2 linked regions of the Caenorhabditis elegans genome follow. The protein of the gene in region 2 interacts with the protein of the main gene of each other region in a pairwise test. Each region holds a gene or a part of one and is shown on either strand. Other genes may lie near its edges.

Evidence for each region.
Region 1: the proteins of cyp-13A2 (region 2) and ftt-2 interact in a two-hybrid assay, tested with the Caenorhabditis elegans proteins (one large-scale study listed by BioGRID).

What each region holds. Positions count from the first base shown.
Region 1 is NC_003284.9:11,602,905-11,607,073, forward strand, and holds ftt-2 (14-3-3 domain-containing protein), read right to left. Parts: upstream 2,516-4,169; 5' UTR 2,477-2,515; coding exon 2,426-2,476; intron 2,377-2,425; coding exon 2,004-2,376; intron 1,729-2,003; coding exon of another isoform or gene 1,565-1,728; intron 1,537-1,564; coding exon 1,373-1,536; intron 1,308-1,372; coding exon 1,149-1,307; 3' UTR 804-1,148; downstream 1-803. UniProt on the Caenorhabditis elegans protein: Required for extension of lifespan by sir-2.1. Required to modulate lifespan, in concert with hcf-1, acting redundantly with 14-3-3-like protein par-5. Promotes nuclear export of yap-1.
Region 2 is NC_003280.10:9,782,618-9,789,276, reverse strand, and holds cyp-13A2 (Putative cytochrome P450 CYP13A2), read left to right. Parts: upstream 1-1,647; 5' UTR 1,648-1,923; coding exon 1,924-2,115; intron 2,116-3,224; coding exon 3,225-3,556; intron 3,557-3,878; coding exon 3,879-3,978; intron 3,979-4,041; coding exon 4,042-4,583; intron 4,584-5,077; coding exon 5,078-5,459; 3' UTR 5,460-5,893; downstream 5,894-6,659. Other genes in the region: cyp-13A3 (Putative cytochrome P450 CYP13A3), read left to right, coding at 136-379. UniProt on the Caenorhabditis elegans protein: Cytochromes P450 are a group of heme-thiolate monooxygenases. They oxidize a variety of structurally unrelated compounds, including steroids, fatty acids, and xenobiotics.

The sequences.
Region 1 (4,169 bases), on a different chromosome or scaffold from region 2:
AAAATGTAGAAAATATAATGTTTGGCTTTCAAATATATGTAGATTAGTTACCAACAAATGAAACCCAATTTTTAATATTTAAAACTGCATTCAAAACAACAGGACTTCTTCTTCTTCTTCAAAAAAAACATGACAATTTTCGAAATTGTTTTTGGTATTCTTATGTATTCGGCTTTCAAACTTTTCAACTAAAGCACAAATGTTCATTTAATTGTAAAGTGGTACAAAAGTAGCTCGTTCCCAAAACCCTGCTCTTTCTGCATAGAACTATCTCAATTACCAGTGTACCAATTACCACTCCTTATATTATCGGCTGTAAAAACCCCAATTTTTTGGTTGTTAGCTGGCGCCGCCACCTGGCGTTGCAAATGAAACCTACCCGTCCAAATAAGTAGTTTTCAAGTATGTCACTAACCAAAATTTTGCTATATCTGTAAAGCCAATTTAACTAGAAATAAACCTATGAAAGTGTCATGTACCGGAGATTTAATCCAGGACTCCACCTTTTCTTATTCCTCAATGAATATGAACATTAAATTCTAGTTTTCATCTTTGTTCATATCTATAATAAATGAAATAAATTTTGAATTGAACCTTAGCAAGTGCCTAAGACGTAGTAGTTATCTTGGTTAAGGAAGAACAACCTGCAATAACAAGATGTCGCTAAAAGAAAACGTTCGTTTCAGTTTTCTTTTCTCATTCGAACTTTGTTCAATTGCACTAATTTTTATACATTTGGATGTCAATCGGAATCCTCCCCTCTTAATATTTCTTCGACGTGATTATCTGCGTTAATTTCTCATATTGAAGTTGGTGTTACAACTTTATTATGTGTATTCAAAAGCTTGGGGGTGTTTCGAATGTCGAGATTTGAAAGGGGGAAAAGCCGTAACAAAACGGAACATTGAATTGTATGGGTAGAGACGGGAAGTTTTGATGAGTGGGCTCAGCACAGAAATTTGAATAACTTCTGCATTTGGTTGATGGGAAAAGGGGAGTGATTGATGAATTTATAGAAAAAAATGGAAAGAAAAACGATGGTTTAACTAGTCAATGGTAATAAATAAATCATATGACAAATAGTATTATTTATCATTTTCAAGATCGAGGTGAGGGGTGTGTGGCGGTAACGTGTCGGTGTGAAGGAGTTAGTTGCCTCCCTCTGTCTCGTTGGCATCAGTGTCATCGGTGGCAGCGTCCGAGGTCCAGAGAGTCAAGTTGTCACGGAGAAGCTGCATGATGAGGGTAGAGTCCTTGTATGAGTCCTCGTTGAGGGTGTCGAGCTCAGCGATGGCGTCATCGAAAGCCTGAAAGATTAAAGGTAATCAATAGCTTTGAAGTTACGATGCTATGTCAAAAACTTAACGAGCACCTGCTTGGAAAGCTGGCATGCTCTATCCGGGCTTGCTGCTACTTCATAAAAAAACACCGAATAATTGAGTGCAAGACCAAGGCGAACACAGTTCGTTGGTGACAGATCTTTATTTGCAATTTCAAGTGCCTCCGCGTAAGCCGTTTGTCCAATGTTGGCTACTGCTAAAATAAAATAAAAACATTAACACACCTGCTTGGCAAGCTGGCAAGCCTTGTCCGGGGCGTTCAAGATCTCATAGAAGAAGACAGAGAAGTTGAGAGCAAGTCCCAGGCGGATTGGGTGAGTTGGTTGCATCTTATCCTTGGCAATGTCGAACGCCTCTTGGTAGCTTTGCTGCGACTTCTCGACAACCGCTGCAAAGAAGGAATATTCATTTCTGGTCTTCTTTGAAACGAGTATGACTATGAGAGGCAGAACTCCCTAGAGGAGAACCCCCAATGAGCTGCCCTAGAGTTTATTTTCAAAAACTACGCATCGATGTGGAATTGGGTCGCGCCTGAACTCCCGTTCTCTGTCTTCCCTATGATATCTTTCCACACTTCACACAAGGATGCATAGCTTACGAATGAGGGTTAGAAACGAGTGCACGGTTATGTCCCAATTACAGTCATCATTTTCAATCACTTACAGTTTCTGTCGTCTCCGGAGGCGACCTCAGCGAGGTAACGGTAGTAGTCTCCCTTCATCTTGAGGTAGAAGACCTTGGACTCGGCGGCTCCAGCCTTTGGAATGAGGAACTTGTCGAGCAAGTTGAGAACGTCTTGGCAGATGTCGCGGAGCTCCTTCTCAACCTTCTCACGGTATTCCTTGGCCATTTGTTGCTTCTTCTCAGATCCTTCGGTCTTCTGCTCAATTGAAGAGATGACTCTCCATGAAGAACGACGGGCTCCGACGACGTTCTTGTAGGCAACGGAGAGAAGATTGCGCTCCTCGTTGGAGAGCTCAGCTCCCAGCTCGGTGACCTTCTTCATGGATGCGGCCATGTCGTCGTAACGCTCAGCCTGAAATTAAAGTTTTAGTATTCAAGAACATCCTGAGACATCTACATACCTGCTCGGCAAGCTTGGCGCGGTTCACGAGCTCTTCCTTTCCGTCAGACATAGTTGATTTAGTTGCTTGAAGTGGATGAGTCACTGAAAAACGAGAATATAAAGAGTTTGATACAAAAAGGTCAAATGAGAAAGAGAAGAAAGAGGGCGGTAAACAAATGAAGATTGTTTGAAGAAAGCAAAGAATGGCTCCTTTCCGTATTCTTATATGATATGAAACTGATGGGACATTTTCATCTCTTCTAACACGAGGCGTATGAGCCCTTGTAGAAGTATACACAATGCATCAAGAAGAAACGAGAAGGACGTTGTCGAGCGAGTAATGTTGAACAGAGTGAGCGGCACCCCTCCCAGCCCTCCCTCTCGTTTTCTGTGCGTCTCTCCCTATCTGCCGAAAGGAGCGCGCACCATCATTTTAGGGTCTGTAAAAACCATTCAAACTGCGAATTTCAGAATAAAAATTATATATTCTGAGAGGGGAAAGTCTGTTTCATCAGCTAAAGTGAAGAAAATATAAGTTTTGATATCTGTGTTTAAAAAGAGCCGTTTGGCGCGCTACAAACACACAATTGCGGAGTGATTCGAGGGGGCTGCCAACAGAAAACCGCCGCCTCCTACGACTCATAAAGGGTCTCTTTCGCAATGTGTCAACAAGAGCGCGCACCACATTTCTTCTTTGAAGGAAGTCAACATAATTTCAGATATATTAGATGAAAATTAGATATTCGGGTTCGTCTTTTTCCGGGCTTTTAGTTGACTAGAAACTCGGCCTAAAATCTTGAACTTTGAATATTTTTGTGCAGAAAATAGGACGAAAACATCGGACATGCGGAGGCTTCTAGGGGGCTGCCTTTTGCCCACCCACCAGGCGCTCGGTCGTCATTTGAAGTCGCTCTGTTATTCAAATAGAAAGAGCGCTCACCATAACTCTTTGGGCCATAATTTACCTTCAAATTATCTTGAGTAATGTATGGTCTGAAAATTTGAAAATGTGACTACAGAAGCTTGCCGTTTTCAAAGTTAAATGATGATTCTTGCATGTTCCTGGATGTTTCTGGAAACTTGGAGCAAATTCAAACAATGCGGCAGCGCTTTGGGGGCTACTTTGACGACCGCTGCAGACTTGTTCTAAATCAATGACCAGCGGCGGTGGGCTCGGAGGCTCGGAGCTGATGCGGTTGGCTCTCGCTTCACAACAGCCTAGGATCGAATATGCAGGGCGCGTAAACATGCAGGCAAAACAGGCTGATAATCGTGTTACTTAACTTGAAAGTGCCTGGTATTTGCCTTAAATTACAAAGGAGATTCAGAAAAATAATTAGCATGATAAATTTACAATTCTAAACTACATATAAGGCCAGGTTCTATTCATTCTTTTCATTAATTCATATGTAGAATTTTACAAAAATGTTTATTACAATAGTATCTGTAATTTTTCCTGATGTTTCTGAAACTGTAACTGGTATTTTGTACAAACATCCATATCAATTAGAATTGGTGTCGCGGAACACATCCGACTGTTGTTTGATCTTCATTTTTGTTGTCTTCACTTCCGATTTTCGAGGAAGTACATGTACATCTTCATTCTTCCTATCCCGAAACCTTTCAAACCCCATTCTATCAAAACAGAATTAGGAACAACAGATGCGTGGTGTGGTGCGCAACTATACAGAGACCTTCAACGCAATTTACGTCTTATCTATTCCACATCTTCTTTCACCGTGCAGTGAGGTATACTCTTACTC
Region 2 (6,659 bases):
GTGAATGAGCACGCTAGTAAATGAGGGTTTGCCCTATCATAATGACTGCCCATTGTTGACACATATTTTTTAAAATCAAAACTGAAGGCTAGATGAAGGGGAAATATCAGGCAACACAACTTTCTTCATTTTCAGATGGGAATCTGGAGACGAACAAGCTGTTGCAAAGGGAGCTTACCTTCCTTTCGGACTTGGACCCCGAATTTGCATTGGAATGCGTTTGGCCTATATGGAAGAAAAGATGCTTCTGGCACAAATTCTGAAGAAATATTCTCTGGAAACAACTTTTGAAACCCATATTCCATTGAAACTGGTTGGAATCGCCACAACTGCGCCAACAAATGTTCACCTAAAATTGAAGCCCAGACATTCCGATTAACTTGGCTTTATCATTTCTTTTTGCCAATTCTTCCCCCCATTTTGTGTCTTGTTCTTGACACAGTTTGTGTTCTGTTTGATAAAAATGTGATGAATTGAGAAGTTTGTTCTGATAATCAACATTTCTGCAACATAGCTACTGCGACTGATCGAAGAAAGTTATATTTTGTTGGCAAAGTAGAATATTTTTTCCACTAATGAGTGAGGCTAAAGTGGTTTATTTTGAAAAAAAACTTCTTAAACTTTACTTCAGTAAACAAAATTTGTAATAAACCAATCATATTGGCCGGGAAAATAGTTTCAAGGCACATTATAGAAGGGCTGATCAAAATCAGATCTAAATATCTTAAAACTCCTCATCTTCAAATTGGCGTAGCATGAAAACTATGCGTCTAGAAAACAAAGAATCAACTAACAAAATGATCAAAAATACTTTTTCTTCATTTTCCATTACTTTTCATGTTAGTCTATCAATTATTCGCTGAGTTACACGGGAGGAAAGCAATTTAACCAAAATTTGCCAAAAAAATTCGAACCTTCTTTGCAAGAAGAGTCACACTACAACACCCATTTGGTTTCAATATAAAAACCTGTAAATTTGTAATTCATAAATACTTATTTGAAATTTTCATGTTATAACTTTTTTGATATCTTAGTTTTCAGCTAAGTTACAGACCGTTTTTCAAAAAAAATCATTTTCAACCATAAAACTCTTTATATCCAACGTATCGACTTGAAATTTTGAAAAACGATCACTTTTTTGAGGTCTCTACAATGTCCTAAAAAATCTTCCGAAAAGCCCTGCTAATCTCCAAAATCGTCTTTCGCTCTGAAAAACTAAATCGGACTTTTGCTTTCCCAAAAATTGACAAAAGAAAAGAAGGCGGGGTTTACGTCACGTGTTTCACGGTGTGTGGCGGAACCCGAAAAACTGTCGGCCGCTAAATTGTTTCACTTTGTTTGGTTTATATATGAATAATGCGAATAATAGTGAATTTTTTCTTTTTCTGAAAGAAACAGGGTATCTCAAGACTTTAACTAATCTTCAGAACGAAATCATATATCAGAGCAACCTGTTCAAAAACTGCAATCTTTAAATGTTCAATGTTTTCAAAATAGTTGGTCCGACCTTGAACTAGGTGTTCGGTCCATGTCTAAACACAAGTACTAGAAGATTAATGGGTAGACAGACCATCGGTAGACAACCTTCTCTTCCGTCCTTGAGAGCTCCTCTTTTCTCTTTTTTTCTCTAATTGTTCACACTCGCTCGTTTCAGGTAAAATTTGTGTCTAGATCGTTATCTCTTTTCGTTTTCTTTGATTTCTCGGCACCCAAATTGTGGACAGAGTGTGATTAATTCTGTAGACGCAGGAGGAGAAGCGTGTCTTTTTATTGGTATACCGTGATTAGAGAGACGGAGAGCTGGCGATAGAAAAAGAGAAAAAAGTTTTCAAAGTGGGTGGAGCGTCTTATATAAATACAGACAGTTGGTTTTATTGAACGGCTCTTCCATTTTTTTTTTCGTTTTCTGCTTCTACAAACACAATGAGCCTAGGGTTTGTGCTCGCCGTAACTTTTTCAATATTTCTTGGAATACTTACATACTACCTCTGGATATGGACATATTGGATGAGAAAAGGAGTTAAAGGACCACGTGGTCGACCATTTGTAGGAGTTTTGGATGTGCTCTTGGAGCATGAAACACCTGGATTAATCAAATTAGGAGAGTGGACAAAGGTTGGTGCAAGAGAGTTCACATGGTGAATAAGCTTTTTTGGAAAAAAAACTTTAAAAGCTGAATCAGGGAAAACGTGGTAAATGTTTTTAAATGAGGAGAAGCTCTAATGGGGAACATTTTAAAAATTATTCCAATGCTATTAAAATGATTGAATACTATAAAGTAAACATTTTCAAAATAAGTTTAAATGTTTTATCTACAATCAAAACTTGGCAATTCCTCAATCTTCAATTATTATAGTTTGGGAAACTGAACAAAAAATGTTTTCTCCACGAGGTTCACATTTTAACTATTTGAAAAATTTGGGCAAACTGGCTAGAAGTTTTGAAAAATCTGAATCACTTTTTTTGAAAGTATTTTTTAAAGATAAATTTATGTTTTTGAACAGTTTTGAGTTTATTTTAGAAAAGCCGAATATTTAGCGCATTTCTGTTTAGACCAGTCAAATTGTGAAAATTATTCTAGTAGGCAATATTAAAAAAAACATGTGAAATTCCTCTAATTGTTCCCAAAATTTGCAATTTTAATTATTAATTTTTCATCCTACTTCCAAAATCATTTTTCTCAATAGAATCACAGTTTTTGTGAGTTATTGCCAGATAACTTGACATAAAAACTCGTTCTACTTATCGGTTTCAACTTACTCTTGTCAAATTTCTTCCTAGTAGATAAAAAGTCACATGTACAATTGGTAAAGTTTTGTTTCATGGCCACTTCCAGTGCAGGACAAAAAAATTTCCTAAGATTTACTGCACTTTTGCGAAAAGTGACTGCCCTTGACATGTTTATTCACTGAACAGAAGTTCCTTCTAAACGCATCACTGTCAAAAGTTTTTGCTTTTCACGTATAAATGATGGATTTTAGTAGGTAGGGCAAAGGTACTTGGAGTTTAAATTTGCAGAGGGGTAAACAAAAATAGTAAATTATTTTTAAGAACATCATGAGTATTGGGTAAACAGTGTGTAGTCCTCGTCCACTTTGTACGGAAAGGGCAAATTTTGTGTGGGTTATATGTAGTTGAAAGAAATGGAAAATTAGATTTTTCGAAAATTTAAAGACCTATGTAGTTGGAAAATAACTTCTATCTACAATCCTAACATTTTACAGAAATATGGCAAAGTGTATGGATACACAGATGGCACTCAGCGAACATTAGTAGTTGCTGACCCTGCAATGGTCCATGAAATATTTGTGAAACAATTTGATAATTTCTACGGCAGGAAGTTGAATCCAATTCAAGGAAATCCGGAAAAAGAACAACGAGTTCACTTGTTGGCTGCTCAAGGATACAGATGGAAGAGGTTGAGGACTATTTCATCACAAAGTTTTTCGAATGCAAGTTTGAAGAAAATGAAGAGAACTGTAGAGGATAGTGCTCTAGAGTTGTTGAGACATATTGAAAAGCAGACAGCTGGAGGAGAACAAATTGATATGTTAAGGTTAGTTTTTAATTTTATAGAAAAAATTTAAGCTTTAAAAAAGGATACGAAGCAAGCTTGAGCCTATGTATATGAAAAATATCATGATACCTTCAAGGCAGCCTATAAACCCGTGAAATTTTTTTTTGTTTCACTGTATTTGCAAATCTGATTTTTCTAGGTCTTTGGGTTTTTGACAGTTTTGCTTTAAAATGATAACTTCATATTCCCTAACATTTCCAGTATTTGCAAATATTATCGAAATTTCTATTTTTTCTAATTTCTATTTTTTCTAATCTTCCAAAAAACCTTTTAAGCTCTATATTCTGAAATCAGTTTCCAGATTCTACCAAGAATACACCATGGACGTCATTGGTAGATTTGCGATGGGTCAGACGGATTCTATGATGTTCAAGAACCCAATTGTCAATGTTGTCAGAGAAGTTCGTTTTTTTTTTGAATTTATTCATCTATTTCATTTCATACCATTAGCTAAAAACTTTCAGATTTTTTGTGGCAGTCGAAAAAACTTGATGTTAATCTGCCAAGTCTTCCCACCAATTGGTCAATTCATTCGTGACCTAACATTCAAATTCCCCAGAATTCCCGCTTTCAAACTCTACAGTATCATGCAAGATGTAGTAGCTGCTCGAATTGCTCAAAGAGAACGAGAGAAGGGGGCGGAGTCTGGAGAGCCTCAAGATTTTATCGATTTATTCCTGGATGCCAGATCAGATGATGTAGATTTCAGTGCGGAAGCGAGAGAAGATTTTTCAAAAAGGAACTTGAAAATTACAAAGGAATTGAGTGCCGATGAAGTAGTGGGACAATGTTTTCTATTTTTAATTGGTGGATTTGATACAACTGCATTATCACTATCATATGTTACTTACCTATTAGCTGTTAATCCAAAAATTCAAGAAAAAGTAATTGAAGAAATTGCTCGTGAATTCGGAACTTCAGAAGTAGAATTTGAGAAGCTTGGGAGGCTGAAATATATGGATTGTGTGATCAAGGAAGCTCTCCGTCTGTATCCATTAGCTTCTATGTGAGTTTTTTGATGAACTATGTGTAAAATGTTGCACCAAATTCTATTGCATTTTAGTTTCCATGACAAAAACCTCATGTGAAAATTTTTGCAGAAATTATTTATTAAACTACCATAGACCGTGATTAGCGATAAGAAAAATGTTGTCTATGTCTGCAAAACTAGGTAGATTTGAGAGAAAAAATGTCTATTTGTTGCACTTGCATGCAAAATACTGTGTAGGTACAAAAAAAGATTATTCAATGTCTTGTTGGGCAAAATTGCAAATTAAAATATGAAAAAATATATATATCCGGAAATATCTGGAAATTGGGAATTTGATAATTTCAGCAATCTTGGCAATTGACAGAAAATTTATCTTTGACGTCTTGAAAATAGAAAAGAGCCAAGTACTGTTTTTCTGATATCTGAAACATTCCTAAAAGTTTGTTATAAAGTTACCAAAAAACACCTTAATCAATGACCCTTATATGAAAATAATTCAACATTTTCAGTTCAAATTCCCGAAAGTGTATGAAAACAACAACTGTGAATGGTGTAAAGATTGAAGCTGGTGTATACGTTCAAATGGACACTTGGTCTCTTCATTATGATCCAGAATTATGGGGAGAAGATGTCAAAGAATTCAAGCCAGAACGATGGTCCACCGACGAGCCATTAGAGCACAAAGGAGCATATCTTCCATTTGGACTTGGACCACGTCAGTGTATTGGAATGAGGCTGGCTATTATGGAGCAGAAGATTCTACTGACTCATTTATTAAAAAATTATACATTTGAGACAGGAAATAAGACTAGAATTCCTTTGAAACTGGTGGGAAGTGCTACTACATCGCCTGAAGATGTTTTCGTGCACTTGAGACCGAGAATTTGGTAAATTTCAGTATTATTGTCTATTTACTTTAATTTTGGAACCCGTTCTATCAATTTCTCAGATATTACAAGATCAGACTAATTGTAAAAATATTTTAGTTAAATTTTTTATTTCTATTTTGTAAAATATTTTCTTTGATTTTTAAAACTTGGGTGTTTGATGGTAACTTTTCATTTCATTTTTTCATTGTTATTCGTTTTTTTTTGTTCAATGATTGTTTCCTTGTTCACACATTTTTCACCGGTTGACTCCATCCACTTTTTATGTGTTTGTTTTTTCCCCGATCTGCACCAATTTATTATAGGCCTACCTCGCTTTGTTTTCATTTGATTTGATGATAGAAAATAATGAAAAACATGGTTGTAAAAAATTATTTTTTGAAGTTAATTTTGGTTCTATTTTTAACGTTGATAAATGTTAAAATTATATATGAAAGTTTATTATGGGGATTTTAGAAGTTTACAAGAAAAATCTTAGTGAAAGCAATTTACAGTGAAAACAACATTTTTGGATTTATTGTATTTTGATATGTGTTACTGAAAACATTAAAACATAAAATAAATTTCAAGATTTTTGTACGATTTGATATTTGATCTGCGCTATGTTTAAACATGCCGAAAAAAAATTCTAAAACTAATTCAGATACAAGTTTTCTGAATCCAAAGTATTCCAACACAGTCCATTCCCAATTCTCTCTGGGTTTTATTATTTTAACGTTTCCGAGAAACTTTTCAAAAAAATCACGAAATATGCATTCATGTGTTGCCCTTGGTTTCCAGAAACTACTTCACATTGTCGTTAAGAAAATTCTAAATTATATAGAAAAGGGGAACACATATGCGTGCACAAAATCTAAATACAAAAACTCCTATTTTTGTCAAGTTTAATTGAAGTTTTCAGCGTCACAGAATTTCTTTAAATAGTGAGAAGAATGAGTAAGACAACAGTAAGTTTCCGAGTTTAACAGTATTAAGGATAAAAATGAACAAAATTTTAGTTTCAATATAAATGGATTTCTTATAGGAACTAGGAATTCTTGAGCATATTAAATTAAAACTATAAAAAGCACTCTTACCGTGCTAATTTTTTTTTTCCTCGAAAGTTCGCTGTTCAGATTTTAGAATTTCTGAAATTAATATTTGCCAATTGTTTAATTAGCGAGTTGTCTGAATCTTCGGGTTCTACAAGTCATGTTTTTTTACC